Linked DNA regions of Caenorhabditis elegans. The protein of the gene in region 2 interacts with the protein of the main gene of each other region in a pairwise test. Each region holds a gene or a part of one and is shown on either strand. Other genes may lie near its edges.

Evidence for each region.
Region 1: the proteins of ztf-16 (region 2) and sma-2 interact in a two-hybrid assay, tested with the Caenorhabditis elegans proteins (2 studies listed by BioGRID).

What each region holds. Positions count from the first base shown.
Region 1 is NC_003281.10:8,747,381-8,755,898, reverse strand, and holds the start of sma-2 (Dwarfin sma-2), read right to left. Parts: upstream 6,220-8,518; 5' UTR 6,036-6,219; intron 5,987-6,035; 5' UTR 5,936-5,986; coding exon 5,933-5,935; intron 5,292-5,932; coding exon 5,240-5,291; intron 5,126-5,239; coding exon 5,022-5,125; intron 4,837-5,021; coding exon 4,759-4,836; intron 4,151-4,758; coding exon 3,852-4,150; intron 3,805-3,851; exon of another isoform or gene 3,600-3,804; coding exon of another isoform or gene 3,461-3,599; intron 3,412-3,460; coding exon of another isoform or gene 3,265-3,411; intron 2,879-3,264; coding exon of another isoform or gene 2,586-2,878; intron 2,537-2,585; coding exon of another isoform or gene 2,474-2,536; intron 2,429-2,473; coding exon of another isoform or gene 2,356-2,428; intron 2,291-2,355; coding exon of another isoform or gene 2,009-2,290; intron 1,962-2,008; coding exon of another isoform or gene 1,798-1,961; intron 1,752-1,797; coding exon of another isoform or gene 1,669-1,751; intron 1,621-1,668; coding exon of another isoform or gene 1,317-1,620; intron 1,271-1,316; coding exon of another isoform or gene 1,154-1,270; exon of another isoform or gene 1,149-1,153; intron 1,008-1,148; coding exon of another isoform or gene 934-1,007; intron 860-933; coding exon 546-859; intron 496-545; and 4 more. Other genes in the region: Mitochondrial import receptor subunit tomm-70, read left to right, coding at 1,154-1,270, 1,317-1,620, 1,669-1,751, 1,798-1,961, 2,009-2,290, 2,356-2,428, 2,474-2,536, 2,586-2,878 and 2 more; ugtp-1 (UDP-galactose translocator 1), read left to right, coding at 7,200-7,287, 7,492-7,616, 7,895-8,002, 8,048-8,176. UniProt on the Caenorhabditis elegans protein: Involved in TGF-beta pathway. Plays a role in male tail tip morphogenesis.
Region 2 is NC_003284.9:4,805,240-4,813,884, forward strand, and holds ztf-16 (Zinc finger protein ztf-16), read right to left. Parts: upstream 6,302-8,645; 5' UTR 6,287-6,301; coding exon 6,214-6,286; intron 6,001-6,213; coding exon 5,945-6,000; intron 5,701-5,944; coding exon 5,556-5,700; intron 5,453-5,555; coding exon 5,361-5,452; intron 5,007-5,360; exon of another isoform or gene 4,869-5,006; intron 4,651-4,868; coding exon 4,582-4,650; intron 4,418-4,581; coding exon 4,328-4,417; intron 4,266-4,327; exon of another isoform or gene 4,125-4,265; intron 3,432-4,124; coding exon 3,207-3,431; intron 3,015-3,206; coding exon 2,835-3,014; intron 2,767-2,834; coding exon 2,641-2,766; intron 2,593-2,640; coding exon 2,389-2,592; coding exon of another isoform or gene 2,305-2,388; intron 1,638-2,304; coding exon 1,455-1,637; 3' UTR 759-1,454; downstream 1-758. UniProt on the Caenorhabditis elegans protein: Positively regulates the expression of ver-1 in the amphid sheath glia of amphid sensory neurons. Together with ehn-3, plays a role in somatic gonad development and is required for proper gonadal primordium assembly and somatic gonad precursor cell morphology.

The DNA.
Region 1 (8,518 bases), on a different chromosome or scaffold from region 2:
CAGTTTTAATGTGTGTACCTTTAAAAAGTACAGTAACCCAGTTTTTTTCAAAAAGTATAAGAATAGGCTACCGTACTGCTTAAAGGTACACATATTGCTGTGAGACTGCAATTTTAAGTTATTTTGTGCGTGACGAGACCTTTTCTTGACTCAAACATTGCAATTACGTGAATTAGCTTACCTGTCTAAAAATCTCCATATCGAAAATCTTCAGTGAACACTTATTTGCAATTTTAACAACAGTTGTTGAGTGAAATCCATTGATATAATTACAATTACTAGATTGTACGAATATAGCTGAATCACTTTCACATTGAGCAAAGAGTGAGCCATTGCTACGTACGTAGGTTAGCTTGACACCTGGAATTACAAAAAGTTTGAAAATTTTCAATTTTTTAGTCATAGTCTTGCAAAAATTATGCGCCGAAGTACGGTACCCAATCTCCCGAAAATCAGGTTACTGTACTTCTTGAAGGCGCACGCGTGTTTTGCTCGGCCTTGATTTGAAAGTAATTCGTTCGTGGCGAGGCCGTGGGTGCTCTTACCGTTTCCAATATGTCTTCTTGTATTTTCAATAGTTGCATTTCGATTTACATTCGAAAACAGTCCCAGGCTAATTTTGCTTCCATTGATGCATGGATCAGTGAATCCATCGATAGTTATAGTTGTTGAAGACACTTTAACCTGTTCTCCGACTCTTGTATTCAATTCATAATAGCTAACAGTTGCCCAGAATTGTTCTTCCCAAACTTTATCGAATGGCACGAGACATGTTGGAACTCCTGGTGGAATGTCGAATTTCTGAGAAGTATCCATTTCCTCAATTCCATTTGGATTGTATTGATGAAATTGGTTGGCTCTAGAAAATTATTTATTAAATCCCTAATTAGAAAATATATTGATAATATTTCAACCTTTTTTTCTTTTCGTAACCTTTTCCCTCTCAAAGTTATTTTGGATCCAATTTTATTTACAACTTGCGACGATACTCCGGAATTCCACCGCATGCTGTTTATCGTAAATATTGCCTACTTTTCTTATCACTGAAATTTTACATCATTTTACCAATTTTTCTTCATTCTCTTTGAATTCTCAATTTTTCTAACTTAATCTTAACTTATATCATTTATCTATTTATTATTTTGTAGATATAATGGTCGAAACGACTGGAATCAGCGACCAAACGAAAAAAGTGCTGATCGGTGTGGCAGCTGCAGCGACAGTTGCAGGTGTAGGATACTTGGTATATAAGAGTTTTGGAGGTTCAGACGTGAGTTTCTAGTGTACAATGATATCAATTTCAAAACTAATTTCAGCTGGAAAGGGACTTGGAGGAAATAAAAGCATTGGGAAATTTGAAGTTTAAAGAGAAACAATACGATTCCGCACTAGAAGCATTCACAAAAGGAGTCGAAAAGGCCGGACCAAACTCTTCTGATCAAATTGTCGCAATGCTCTACCAAAATCGTGCAGCCTGTCGTGAAAAGGTTGGACACAGCCCTTTTGATATCCTCAACGACTGTATGGCTGCATTGAAAGTAGACAAAAAATACACCAAAGCATACTTGAGAGCAGCAAAAGCACTTAATGACGTCGGAAAGAAACAGGATGCTCTGGCGTGTGAGTTTCTGAAGATGTTACGAGAAAAGTATCAATTCCTGTTTTTAGATCTTCTTGCCGCGTTCACTTTGGATTCTAGCCTGAATAAGACGAATTTCGAATTCTTTGGAAAGCTTCTTGCTATAGAACCCGTAAGAGCCTAACAATTTCTTAAAGAAACTCAACTTTTTATTCTAGATGTCCGACTGTCACATTGGAAAACCACTCAAAATCGAAGATGTTAAGCCACAGCCAGTAGCTTTGTTCAGAATTCAGCAGTGGTGTGATACTTGGGATATTCTTGATCTTTTCAAAACAGATCTCACCAGATTCGAACCAGAAGTGCTCAGTGAAGACCAGAAGTAAGCTCTAATTCTAGATATACAGTAAAAATAATTATAAATTTCAGACAATACCAACTTGCACTGGAAAAGTTCAAAAAAGGAAAATACGAAGAACTGATTGATCTGCTTACTGAGGAAAACAGCTATCCTCCGGCAATGATCTTGCGTGGAAAAATGCTAAGCTACAGTACTGATCCTAACGAGGCAACGAGATATATCGATAAAGTTGGAGCAAAAATTAACGAACTGATTGGATCAGAAGAGGATGAGGAACGCAAAAAACTAATGAGAGATGCTTTCGATATTCTCAAGATTGAGCTAATGTATACTATGGCAGATTTGGATAAGTTAGTTTTTTTTCTTGATTTTCCAAAATATTTCCAGGTCTTGTCTAATTTTTTCTAATTTTCAGATTCCTGGAATCAGTTCCAAAAGACGATAAGGAAAGACTTTTCAAACTTTATTCGTTTGCATCTATTTTTGTGGTAATTCGATTAAATCATTTTTATTCTCTAAAAATATGGTTTCAGTATAATGGATGTGTTCTCGATACAGCAGTGACGAATCATGAGCAACAAATGATGGCGGATACAGTAAATTTAAATTCATAATTTTCTTATTTATAATTATTTAATTTTCCAGAACAATGCCAATAGACTTCTCACAGAAGCTGAAAAGAACGGAACTCTCACTCCACATCTTTCCATGATTGTTACATTCCTGAAGTTGTGTACCAGCGAAGACTACGCTGATGTTCATCGACGAATCCGAGAAATGGAAGAACTCGCAGAGAGTAGATCTACTCATTTCAATCTGGTTCTTATGTCCAAAGTATATATGATGACTAATAATGAGGAGAGCTCGAAGAAGTTGCTCGAAGAGGCTGCAAGGATTACTACGAGATATTTGGTGCCAAGTAGGCATTTGCAGACTGCGTAAGTTTAGATTTTAATTTTCTGAAATTCGCCGACTGGTACCAGTTGCCGAGATTTTATGAAAAAAAAAATAAAACAAAAAATCGAAAATTAAAAATTTTTTTTGACTTTTCGATTTTTTTCAAAAAAAAAAAAAAAAGAATCGAAGAATATACTCATAAAATTCGATTTTTGAAATAAATTTTGTTTCTGTTGTTGAAAAAAGAAGAAGTATAATTTTCTTTTAAAAGGAAGGAAAATGGCAAAAATTTAAGCTATCGGAAAGTTGAAAAATCAAAAAGTGCGAATTTTTTGTTCAATCACGTCATTAGGGACCAGCCTGCGAATTTTAAATTGAAATTCCCATCGGCTTCTAAGTTCTACGTTAAATACAATTAATTTTCCAGTGATCTCCACGTGCACAAACCAGAAGCTGAACGACTCAGATTGACAACTGAAAGTGCCAACGCAGCAATTGCAGTTGATCCATTCAATTTCTCGGCTCACGTTCTTCATCTTTTGGGAACTAACGGGCCAGAGCCGATGATCAAGAAGTAAGTAAAAAAGTTTCAGAGTTCCACTAAAAAATCCAAGTCCTTTCAGAGAAAATTACGAGCGAGCAATGGAATCAATTCGAAATGCAGCTCTATTTGCCCCACCACGAGAACTTCTCATGTTGAAGAGAATGATTCCATTGATGAATGCTAAGAAACGTGCAGCTGAAATGCTCGATATGTATTAATTTAAAGAATTTTTGAATAGTTGATAGGCTGCTTTGTTACCTGTTTTTCCCCTCATTTCCCCGTTTTTTTTTTAAGTTTTCGGGTTTCTCAAAATCAACCCATCCGTTTTCCAGTTCCGTTCCTTACCTACTGTGTTCGTTTTCTTATTTTATTCTTCGCTTTTTTGTTTTTTTGTTCCCGATAATCTCATAAATACCAGATATTTCAATTTTTCTTCAATCAGTAATACCATATATTTTTTAAACACTTACGTAAAATTAACGTTTGCCATATTGACATTCTGCGGCATTCTTGATCCGCTCATCTCCATCAACTGAAATTTCGCCAGAGTTGGGGGCACTTCTTGTGGTGGTTTCTCGGAATAACGAGGTACAAGAACTGGTGGAAGTACTCCAGTTGCATGAACTCTTTTGTAATGATATGGATTAATGCAAATATCCTTTTGCCCTGATTCGTAGCAGAATCGGCAATCTTCAATTGCTTTCAATTCATGATGTGATTGAAGATCTGGCCAACGATAGACACGGCAATATATCACATGAGGAAGTGCCTGAATTTTTAGTACATAGGATTTGGAATTGTTCCTAACATTTTTTCTCAGAGTGGATTATTTGAATTTTCTGTGAAAAATGATAATCTCCAGCTGTTCAAACAAGCATTTCACGAAGAAGCTTCATTTCAAAAAAAATTGAAAATCGAACAAAAGATCAGCTAACGTTTATAAATTTTTTAAACTTTTAAATTTCATAAATTTAATATGATTTTTCATAATCTAGGTTAAGTTTTGGCTGGTGTAATTTTTGTGAAAATATCAAAAAATTAGCAGAAAAATCTATGTTTTTTCTAATATCGTTAGGATGTACTGTAGAAATTATGCAAATTTATAAATTAAAAATGCAAATGGGACTGACACGTGGACTTTTGCCCATAAAATCAAAAAAGATCAAATCAATTTTTGAAATTGTTCAAACGACTAGTTGACACAATTTTACAATTTAAAAATTTAATATCATTTTTCAAAATCTAGTCGGTCGATTAATCGAATAAGTAAGTCTGTCTCTGTTTCTAGTTGATGTTCATAAACAAATAGGGCACCCCTTCATTTTGAATTTGTTTACTTCTTCTCCCCATTATTCTCTTATTCTATACTAAAATCACCTTTCGATGCGAAATTTGAAGTCGTCCATCTAGTGACCGCGGAATTGTCACGCATTCGGTTTTTTGTTGTCCTTGGCACTGAAATGATATAGTTATTGATTTGAGGTTATTCTACGATTGAAATATCGGATATATGTAGTTTTTATTGATTTTTAACGAGTTTAAAGTATGTGTAGTCTATTGCTAGATTATTTCATTTCTATTCATAAAAAAGAAATCTTAAGATCAAATTGAAAGATTCAAAAGACACAAAACACATGAACCCTCAACGCGAATTCCAAATTTTCCAACGCCTGCTTGTTATGCTTTATCAGCTTCTTCATCAAGTTGTCGATCGCCTTTTTTGCCCAATTCTCATCCTCGTCTCCTGTAAAATACTTATTTCCGTCAGAAATCCGATTTCAGTTTCGATTCTAGATTTCCGCCGTTGATTGTAATATTTCCCCACCCTATTGGTCTTTTGGACAAAAATGAGACTTACCTTGTTTCCATTTCAGTCTCTCCGTGATCTTTTTTATTCCGTCGAAGTTTATCTGAAAGGTTCGTGGTTTTTTGTTGTGAAATAAAAAATGGTTATACAATTTTATCTATTTTCGAAAAATAAGAATTCTTGGGAATTGGGTTCTGATACGAATGAAATTTTTCAGCTACCGTACTCTCTATTACTATTTGTCTCTCTTGTCTCGATTTTTTCAAGAATTTTATTGTAGAAATCACATATTTTGGAAAAATGTTTAAACTACGTCAAATATTAAAATATGTAAAACGGAAGGTTCAAACTTTGAAAGCTGAGAATTTCAAAGTCTATGGTGTTCACGGGGTACTGTAGCTGAAAAATTACACACGTTCCAGGACTCAAGGCCCTGGTTTTGAGGAAGTAATAATAATTTTTACAAACTGGTAGTGGTTAGACAATATCGAGAAGATATTTCAGTTTCTTATTTCACAACAATATTTTGGGAAATTTTTAAACAAATTCTTTATAGGAAAACATAAAAAATGTAGCTACATTTTTTGAAATTTTTAAAAATGATTTTCGTATTTTTTTCAAAATTTTAAAGACTCATTGAGTTCAACAATTTGAATTCTATTTTTTTTTTTCTTTAAAAAATTTGAATTACAAAATTTCGAATTTTTTTTGAATGTTTATTCTTAAATACAAATAAAAACTTACCATGATTCTAATCTTCTTGAAATATTGTAAAAACTAATAGATCACAAGAAGATTCTATAAATAAGAAACATTGAAAATAGCCTGTAAATGCGCACTCCTTTACCTTTTTTTCTTTCTACCTCTGTAGCCTCTCTAAAGTGCCTGGTATCTCATAAATTGTTCTCAGCTTCACCAGCCCATCATCAACCGTCTAACTGTCTACTCATTGTTTTCAACTCTCCGTCTCTCCAAATTGTGCAATCATCTTCACAGATGTGTTTCCACCCGGCGACAGTCAACTTGTGTCCCTGCGCCCCCGTTATCGTCATTAGTAGCCAACTAGACATCATAGTATAGTAGAGAGACTCAGAATATATAAAATGAGACAGTGTTTGAAATAGGAAGACTTAGAGACGCAGAAGGGCGACAGTCTGGAGCCAAGCAGGGAATTAATGGAATTCATTTATTCATGTTTGAAAGGAAAACGGTATTGGGGAATATTCATCACTTTTGTTTGAGAAGGGACCAGGTGTCATCGGATAAAATAGTCTATGGTTGTTGTGAAGGTAGGCTTTGCAAAAACCGGTCTCACTAGATCAAGGAACACCAGAAAACACACTTTTTTGAAATTGTGTTGCTTTTGTGCTTAAATTAAGAGAAAAATTCTTGCAGCAGAAAATATTTCACGCCCTAAAATTTTGATTTTCATGGTTTACAAATTACCGAATTTTATCAGAAAGCATAATTTTCTGAAAAGAAAAGATTCCGAGAATCTCAAAAGATATAGAAATTTCTAGTCTGCTCTATGCACTCATTCAATATTTACATTTTCTATATAATTTCAATTTTAACGAATTTTCATAAGTAGATTCTTTGACAGAAGGTCAAGTAGTGTCTTGTCCTTGAAATTTCCTTCTTTGTTAATTCATGTTGCTAAGGAACATAAGCGTTGCTTGGAAGCATCGGAAAATGTTATATTTTTTTGTTCTCAATGCATTTTCAAATATTTCATTTCTAGAGAATATCTATCTATTTTTCAGTCTTTTAAAAAGTATCAAAAAATGATTTCATGGGTTTTATCATCGCGTTTGTGAATAATGATACTTCCTCTCAATTTTATGCATGAACGTGGCGTTTTTACAATAAAAAAGAGAAGAATGATCTAGACAAACATACACCCTTTTTATCAGACATCATACCCCAATAGCACATTTTCTTATCTTTTTTTTTCTGAAAGCATTTTTCAATATTTACTGATTATTTTTTATGAAATATACAACTTTCAGGAATGAAATTCCAAAATGTACATATATCACATCAAGATGAGGACAAGGAGAAGCTACTGCCAAACGATAAGGATGTGGAGAAAGCGGATGGTAGGAAGTTTCTAATATTATACAGTTTTCAAAAAGTTTTGGTATTTCTTCAAAAAAAAAACTTTCCGTAAAAATTGAAAAAAAAAATCGAAAAACAAATTATCGGAAAATTTACTCTCGACATTTTTTAAGTTTTCGTATGTTATTTTAAAAATTTATATAATTCCTTCTCAAAACTCTGTATCAAAATGCCAAGTATTTCAGAATCCCCGTCATCATCTCGTCCAAGTTTTGTCTTCAAATGCTATGTTATTGCCAGTATGACATTCATTTGGACAGCTTACACATTAACAATCAAATACACAAGGAGTACTGTAAATCCAGATATGGTAATATATTTTGAAATATAGTTTTGGAAGACTTTGATTATTGAATTTTCAGAAATTTTTTTTTTTCAAAATTCAAAATTCAAAAAGTTTGACAATAAAATACAATTGATAATTCATAGCGAAATATAAAAAATCATGTTTAACTTTTCTGAAAAAAATCCAAAGTGTGAAAACGGTTTTAAGAAAAATTTTTTTTTTTTTGATCCCAAAGCACCAAAAAAACACACAGAATTGATACAAATATTTCAATTTTTCGAAAGTATGCATTTTTATTTCAGATGTATTCTTCAACATCAGTAGTCTTATGTGCCGAAATTTTGAAATTAGTGATCACATTTGCAATGTTCTACAAAGAATGTAACTTTGATAGCAGACAATTTTCCGAGGTAGATCTACCGTATTCTTTGAAATCTTAAAATTATAATTTACAGCAAGTCAGTAAATATTACATAAATGCTCCACGAGAACTTGCCAAAATGAGTGTCCCATCGTTTGCGTATGCTCTTCAGAATAATTTGGATTTTGTGGGATTGTCGAATTTGGATGCGGGACTTTATCAGGTAAATTGTCATAGAAATATTAAAAAATATATAATCAAAAAACCTTTTTTCCTATGAAAATAACAAAAAGAATCAATTTTTCATTAAAACCAAACAAAAAAAATTTTCAAAAAATAACCAAAAAATTAAAAGTTTTTCCAGGAAAAAAATCGAGTTTTTCAAAATAATATGTTTTTTCTTTTTCAAAAAAATCCATTAAAAACCATTAAAAAATCAATTTTTCCCAAAAAAAAAACCCAACTCTTTTTTTCAGAAAAAAACGATGCAGAAATGTTTTGTTTTAATTTTTCACAAAAAACCCTTTAAAAGCCAAAAAAAAAATTCTTTTTTTTTTCTCCAAAA
Region 2 (8,645 bases):
AAAAAATAGTAATTCCTGGAAATTATCAAACTGAATATTCATAAAACGATATTTTAAAAAGCACCGGAATTTTTGTTTTTATTGTTTTCTGAATTTTTAAAATTCATAAAATGTAAAAATGTAACATTTGTTTATAGTTCAAAAAATATATTCAACAAAATTTTTTGAAAATTTTTTGTGCATAAAATTGTGAGGAAAAAATTGCAAAATTTCAGAATCCAGCAAGCTAATTTTTCATTCATCAAATTATGTGAATAAACATGAATTTTTAGGTTTAATGCGAAATTGTAAAAAAAATATGGCAAAAACTGGAAACTTCGCCAACCGTGTTTCTCAATCATGTTCTGTCAGATAACTGACGAAAGGCACCTGCAATTTGTGTTGTGATAGTTCTACTTTTTATCAATCTGCTAACAAATATAGATGCAGTTTGAAATAAAACAACAACCCATAAATAGTTCAAATGTCCTTACAAATGGCTATAAATAAAACTGATCTAGTAGTCGCTAATCTTGACAAAAATATGAGAAAGAGAGCCACTATTGTTGGTCCTGCAGAGCACAATGTTGATGCATTGGGTTCTTGGCAAGTCCCCGTGGGACACTGCCCAACTGAACCGGATTGTCCGTAGTGAGCAGCACACGACTCATAACCATATACGCTGGGCCAATGTCAATCACAGACTGCCTGCCAATCCATTTAGCCGTTTTCCTAGCCACCATGACTTTTTTCTAGTATTCTATTCTCCAGTATGTTTTCAACAAAATTTATTTTGAAATGGGAAGAAAATTGATGGGACAGTGGGACAGAGAGAAAGCTTGATAAAATTACTATTCTAATCGGAAAGAAATGTTTGGGATGGGTGGAACAGATAAGGAGGCCTTCAAAAATTCTGAATATCAGTTGAAGTTCACTAGTTTAAAATACATTCGAAGAAATCATTGAAATTGTACAAATTTTGATGAGGGGTGGTGGTGAGAAAGGAAAATAAAACACTAACAACAAAAACCTAACAATGCAAGGTTACGGAAAAAATTAACGGGTCCAAAATGACTTTTGACACGTGTGCAAATGAATTGAAACAAGATAGAGAGCAGAATCAGGAGAAGATGAAGAAAGTTTTTAAAAATGTAAATAATGATATTTGATGGTTTAATATTGATGAGAAATAGACAAAAACACGGGGCAAATACTTTTGATAGAGACAAAGAGCTGTTGAGAATCAATGAGAAGAAGCAGAATCATTCGTTGTTTCCCTGTTATGAAGAAAGAAAGTGACAAATAAAGAGGTAATCAGAATTGACTGTGAATATGCATCGAAAAAAACCGAAGAAAACCGAAAAAAAAAACAAAAATTAAAATGTGGATGAAAGAATGGGGGTGTTTTGGATTCGCTAGACTGACTACTAAAACTGAAAGGCAATCGGGGGGATATTTCTTGGATGATGGTGAATTCAGGCGGAAGTCGTTGCTTGAGTACTATGATCGGCAAAAATGACATGAGTAGTGAACATGTACTTCTCGCCGCACTGAGTTCCGCACAATGCGCATTTGAAAGGATCACCGTCCGAGTGAAGACTTTTATGGAGCAGGTACATTGTGTTGTCGTAGAACATCATTCCGCAATGACAGCATTCCTAAAATAATTCTAGAGTTAGATGCCATTAAATGAGTAACGGTTATGAGTGTTTTGAGTATATATACAGAAAGCGCACGAATTAACGAGCTTTGCAATGAAGTTTCTAACAGAAACTTTTTAAAAAGTTTTTTTTAATCGAAATTTGAATTTTTGAAAAAACCTGCCAAATTCTAGCTAAAAACTGCAGCAGTCCGAACTTTTTTTTGAATGGTATCAGCTGCTGCGAACCGGAAAAGGCAAAGGCCGGGCTTTTAGCTAAAATTAACTCTTTTTTTTTGAAATTTTTTGAGAAGTCTCATTGCAAAATGTTCAAAATACCTAAAACCTATAGTTTTCCTTTAAATTCAAATTTCGGAAGAGAAAGTTGATAGTTCTGATAAGGTGGGTGATGTAGAGAATCCATCATCCTTCAGATTTCAAAGAAAACTTGTGACATCTACGAGAAATTGAAAACCTCCTCATCAAACTATACATGGTGTAATGTTCGGTTTTTCTATCTCTTTTTTTAGATTTTTTCTCAAATGAGAACGTTCCGAAAGTTGCAACAAATTGGCAATCATTTAATCAGTCTATGTTTTTAAGGTTGATAAAACCAAATTTTGGCATCAACAAAGAAATGGATCAAAAGTCCCAATTTTTGGAAAAAAAAACTCTGTTGACGATGCTCACAATTCTAATTGCACTTCGAAAAAAGGTAAACAAAATGGTGACATTTTCAATAACAAGTTGTTATTAGCGATAACACATACCACATTCTCCTCGTCTTCTTTTTCGGGAGTCGGTGATTTCTCTTTTTCAGTTAACGAAAGTGATGACTCATTGGCTGGCGGCGAGTGCGACTGTTCACTCGGACTTGGAGCACTGACACTCACAGAGCTTGACGTCTGCTCTGACCAGAGTTGCACCTGATCCTGCTTCACAATCGCTGCCACTGCTGGAATGTTGTGAAGAGCCTGAAATGCAAAGGTTAATTAGCGAAAGTGTGAAGGTTTCATTGATACCGGCAATGGAATATTTGGAATGTTGAGCATTGGTCTTGGGATGTTTTCTCCGAATCCATTGAACTGGTTCATTTGGTTTAGACACATCAACAAAATATCTGGGTTAGCCATAGGGAAGCTTGGTGGCTGAAAATAAAACCATGGAATCATGGAAATGCTTTTTATTCAAAAAGAAACGAAAGAAAGATTCTTACAATTTTGTCGAATTCAGAACTTGTGGAGTTATCGGAGGTGTCGGTGTTTGGAGGGCTAAACTCTGATTTCACCATTCTTTGCAACTGTTCTGTTATGCTCATGTTCGCAGGATCCATTGGCAAAGCATTTCCATTCGACAGCTTCTTCCTTTTTGGCGTGTTTTCTTTTTTCGGAGAAGACTGAAAATCAGAATGAGAAATAAGAGTTCACGTTCAGGATATCACATGATGAGAGAGATTCCACGGAAAGTGCGTCTCTTGGGGCAACCGAATTAAGCTCCGAGAACGAGAAAAACATCACCTAATAAGGCTCAGGTTCTGCTCGCTAATCATGTGTTACGTTTCCGTGTAATCTGAAGTTACATCTCTTACCTCAGAATCGTCATGTCTTGTCTGGAAATGAAGGAGAAGACGTCGCGAATTGGCGAACATCAAATTACATCGCTTACATGACGCGGGATTTGTTGACGAAATTGTGTGCGTTTCTTCCAAGTGTGCTCGGAGTGCATTGTGCTGACTAAACTGCATGTTACATTGTGATACTGGACAGTCGAAACCAAAACCCGTTTTGATATGTGTCATTGAATGCTCTTGCATCTGAAAGTTATAGGTTTATTTTAAGTTACATGTTTAAAACATGACTACGGTATGTTTTTAACATCTAAAAATCGGTTTTCACTTTCACACAATATTACAATTTACAATTTTCTCTGGTTTTCTCCTCGCCCCGCAACCTTTGTCTTTCATTATAAAAACCCCTTTTGATGCGAGCGAGGGTGATGGCTTTCAACTTTTCGGGAACCAATCAGAGACGCAGCTAGAACAAAAAAAAAACCGCCGACGGTTGGTATTTCTTCTTTTTTTTACTGATTGGCCCTGGGGGTAAGGTACACAGTAAAGAGCGGCAAAAATATGGAGACATCGAGAAGATGCTAGAAGGTAGGATGGGAGGTAGGATCTTCCGAAGAAAATGCGCGTGCTATCGTCAAGGTCTTTTACTTCTCATCTTCACCAACGTCGTCGGATAGTATGAAGAATCGGAGAAGAAAGACGCGCCAACCGTTTTCATATTCGACGGCATAACCTGACACCAATACCGTCAAATTGGTTCCCCCCGATTTTCCTGTTTTCTTCAGGCTCGTCGACCTTCAAGAACGGTTTTGGGCAAACAGATATCATCAGAGCGCTTGAAGAAATGGTTGATGGGCACTGCGGCAGTTCCCTGCCATCCATGGAAGAGACTCTTCTTATTTCCGGGAAAGTGAAAATATCCAAATTGAAAACGACCTTCAGGCGGCAATCCGCCGCCTCCTTCTTCCCTCAATTTCCCTTTCCTTACGGGAGATCAGTTTCACTTTCCATTTGATTACGTAAATTGAAGATAAAACACGATTTTTGAGTTACGGAAGGCGGCAGCGGCTTCTTACGCAACAGCCGTTAAATGGTGGGGCTAGGAGGTGGAGGGTAATAAAAAATATGCCAGACAAGCATACCTGATCTTTCCTGAAAAATCGTTTTTTGCAAAAACGACACTCGTATGGCTTCACACCGCTGTGGCGCATCCGATGACGATGCATGTTAGCCTGAAAACGCAACATTGATAAACCACAGGAAGAAAGTGAAAAGGGAATCAAAGAAGAAGATCAATCAGCACGATAACCATACTTGGAAAATCCAAATGATTCAAAAGTTGTCGAGTGTTTGAAAACCAGATTCCGATTCAGAAAATGTTTTAAAAATTGCTCACCTTCTGGCTGAACTGCATTTTACAGATGTCGCATTGGTACATTTGGCCTTGATGGCGTTCATGCGCTTCCTGAAATGTTCAAGAATCTTCACTGGTATGTCATGTGATTTCTAAGGTCATCACGTTTTTTGTACTGCCCCCGTATCTGGTCTTCCCGTTTCTTTTTCCAAAAACGCCTCTTTTTCCTCCCATCTTCTTCCACCCATCCCAATCTCTACCGCTTGATGTCACTACATAACCGAAAAAGGGAAAATCTATGTTTTTTTTGGTTTGGTTTCTCGGAAGATTCTGCCTTAACCAATTAGTATGACACCGGCTCACATGAAAGGCAACATCCTTAAGAAGAAAAGCCAATATATGAGGAGCCTGCCTCCTTCTCCCATACCACTCCACTACTACTCATCCCGATGACCGTTCGGGAAGTGATGGGATTGGCCGTCGGAACAAAAAACAGTAGGGTCAAGTGAGAGACGCAGTTAACTGGACAGTAGATAGAAAGTAAACAGTAGTTTGTGAGAAAAGCGGCATGGAGCGAGTGGGAGAAGAGAAAAGGTTCACGGAGTGTTGACTTACAGGACCCACCTTACAAGGAATTGATGAAAAGTGGAAAAGAGGGAAATTGAAAAGACTTTCATATCCATCAACAGATTTACATGCTAAAATTAATTTGTACCCTTGGGAACATGCGTAATAATGTACTGAAAGTATCTTTCACTCTTCCGTCACCTATAGAACAAGAGAATGCTTTCAAGAAAACGGGTAAAAATCCTTGAACCTACCAAGTGGCTTTTCATGTGTTGCGACATACAAGTGGTGAAATTACAGTGCGGGCAAACGTGAACCGTCTTTTGTCCTTTGGTGCCTGGTTCTTCTGAAATTTTTAGGTTTCACAATTGCATATTGGTACTTGGTAATTAACCATCAATAGAAATACATTCCAGTGTGTAAGAAAATGCAATTCAAAGAAAACTTACTTTTGATGAGAGTGTTTGTGATTTCTGTTATCGAAATGTGATGTTCAAGATGTTCATCCGAGTCCGGACTCGGCGTTGGATCTGAAGGGGGCGTGGACCGTGGCGACGGCGTGGACGACTGAATACCATCTCCCCACTCGATTGTCTGAAAAGCCTTGGTCTCAATGTTTCTAACGAGTCTCAGGGGGCATGTCTGGAAGACGTGTTACAACGTCACATCCAACATCCCTCCCCTCTTCATTTTTTCCACGTTCTGTTGTTCCCTCACATATCTTCTCTACCTCTGGCACTAATTAGGCAAATATGGCATTATGACGCAACCTTTTTTCTATATCTCTCACTCACACGCTCTCACTCTTCTGGATGAATTTTACTCTCCCATAACATACCTGCGAGTTAGACATTTCTCCGCTTGAAGACCTGCTGTGCTCGTTTTCGTGCTTCTCTGCAAAAAAAAAGTATTAGGGGGTAATGTTGCTAAATGTGAAACGCAATAGAAGCGGGTTAGTTAATGGGTTGAAGCGCTCACTAAACCGCTACAAATCCGAATTTTTACGGGTTTGTCTCCGTTCTAAGATGAAAAAAAGATGGACAAAGCGCGGGTAGGTGGATGTTTCAAACGAATTGGCATTCATGTATCACCGAACAGGTTGGTTACCTATATGTCCTTGAAACTCGGAAAATACAGTAGTCGTGAATCCGCATTCTGTGCAAGCGTTCAGTTCATCCATTGTTGAGATCACTGAAATGATAACCATAGCAAAATGAAAAACCCTGACAGGGAATATCTGGTAATGAGACGAAAATGGGCGACAAAAAGAAGAACAACGAGGAAAAATAGGGGAAAAAAGCGAGGAATATGGCACGACGAGACTTGCACACAATAATCAGGTGTGTTTACGGATGGCAGAAGATAAGAAAGGAAATGTATAGGAAATGGTAACAGGCGGATATAGGAATATATGGGAAAATTGGAAAATGGAAATACTAAGAGTGACTGGAAAAATATGTATTATCGGAGCGAAAAAAGCGGAGGAGGGGGAAAAGGAGGAGCCGGATCCATAGGTATGATCACATTGACAAGCATTTACAACGGCTCGCCAAATTACTGGTTACGCGCCTGGATACGAATTTGGGGAGTAGGCAGTAATTTATGGATAGCCAGCTTCTTTAGCAACCACTGCGAGTTGGACTTGTTATGAGTGTGTTTGATTTAGCGAGAGCCTGGTCCACGGTTTTGAGAGCAGCTAGGTGACCTCGCCTAGTTGTTTGTCGTCTCGCGGCGGCGGAGGCGAAGAAGGACCGAGATACGGTTTCCGGGTTTGGCCAAACATCTCAACCCGATGCCTCCCCGTGTACTCCATAAGCTGCTTCTCCGGATTTGACTTGCACTCATAGCGACGAGCTACTGTGTGCTTACTATATTTGTAAGAGAAGTGGTAAAGTGTGTATTCGCTGGGCAGTAGGTATCTTACGGACCTTTACGAGGAGCAATAAGAAAAAAAAGTTGATGAACATTAAAAAAAACAGGAGGAACTAATATGGATTAATTATCGCATCCAGACATGGTGTGTAAGATACGAAACATCAAAACATATATACTATTACACAAAATTTGCATCATAAACACGAAAAAGAGATTTGATGGATTGGGTGGATAGGGTAAAAATGTTATAAAATGAAAATTTTCAATGATCAAAATCTGAAACCAGCACAAAAATAAGATTCAGGAACCTGAGAAAAAAGAACAGGATCTCAAGGAAGGCAAAGTAATGCCAGGTGGATTATAGCACAATTATGTTGATGATTGCATGGCTGTGTGTCTATACTGGATTACTGTCAATTGCGCGTAACCACCACTACAAGTTCGAGACTAGCAGGAAGGTGGTCTAGATGGACAGATGGTGCTAACAGGTAATTGAGATGGGTGAAGTGACTGGAGAGCAAACTCGCATCTAGTATGACGTTACGTTTGCGGAGGAGAACGGTAAGATTGCGATACATAAATCTAGGTTCTATGTTTTAGGTTCTAGGATAGGAAGAGAAATTTGGGGTGTGAGGAATGGTGGGGAGCAAATATGGAGTGAAGGAATCTCTGGGGGTGGGGCACCGCAGGCATTGGATACGGTAGAACTAAAAGTGCAAAAGCTGGCAAACTGATATGGGGCGGATTACACCTGGGGGTGGCAGGGCGGAAAAACGACTTTACGCGGATGGCAATGAAAAAATGAGATGGCGGGGATCGAGGGGGGGAGGAGGTGACGGTTTCTGAATGGCATTTACAAGAAGAGAGAAAGGGGGTGAGATAGTGCGTGTGTCGCGGGGTGCCAAACAAGCTTTTTTGGGAATACGATGAAGAAAAAAGAAGAAAAACGATGTAGAAGAAGAAACTGTCGATGGCAGCAGCAGCGGCAGTGGCGGCAGGCAGCAACGGGCATCATCTCTATCTGTCGCCCGGGGGCGCAAGATGTAAAGAAAAAATCGAGCTGCGCGCACCTCATCAGAAAAACGCAGCGCCCACCCCCACACACACACACACACTCACACCGTTTCGTTCGGAAGAAAGAGAATGAAAAAATTGGAGAGAAGGCACTGGGGGAGAGGGGATGCCGTTGCGGGTGGCCTAGAAGGTCGGCAAGGTTAAAGTGAAGACGACGGGATCTTTTCAGACCATACTAGCTGCAGCAGGGAGACTTCCTCCCTCTCCGCACTATGTCTCCTCCTTACGATGGAGAAAAAAACCCGGTTTTTTGTGGCAGTGAGAAGAGCGTCTGGAACATAGTAATGACCTTCCAATAGATAAGGCATGTGGAATTACAATTGGATGAACATTTGGGAAAACGTCAAATGTAGATAAAAAATTGGAGGGAGAACAAGTGATTTTGACGATCTCGTGGTTTTCCAAGGATTATATATCATTCTAACATTATCTCTGTGGTTTTTTGTCCGTTCGGAAATGTTACAAAATTAGAAGACAAGGATGTTAGGAGAAGGTGTGAATGCTTGCATATGTGTCTTCTTCCTGTATGTTTTGTTGTTTCGTCTGAACGTATGATCAAGTCAAACATCTACAGTGTCACGAAGATTTTA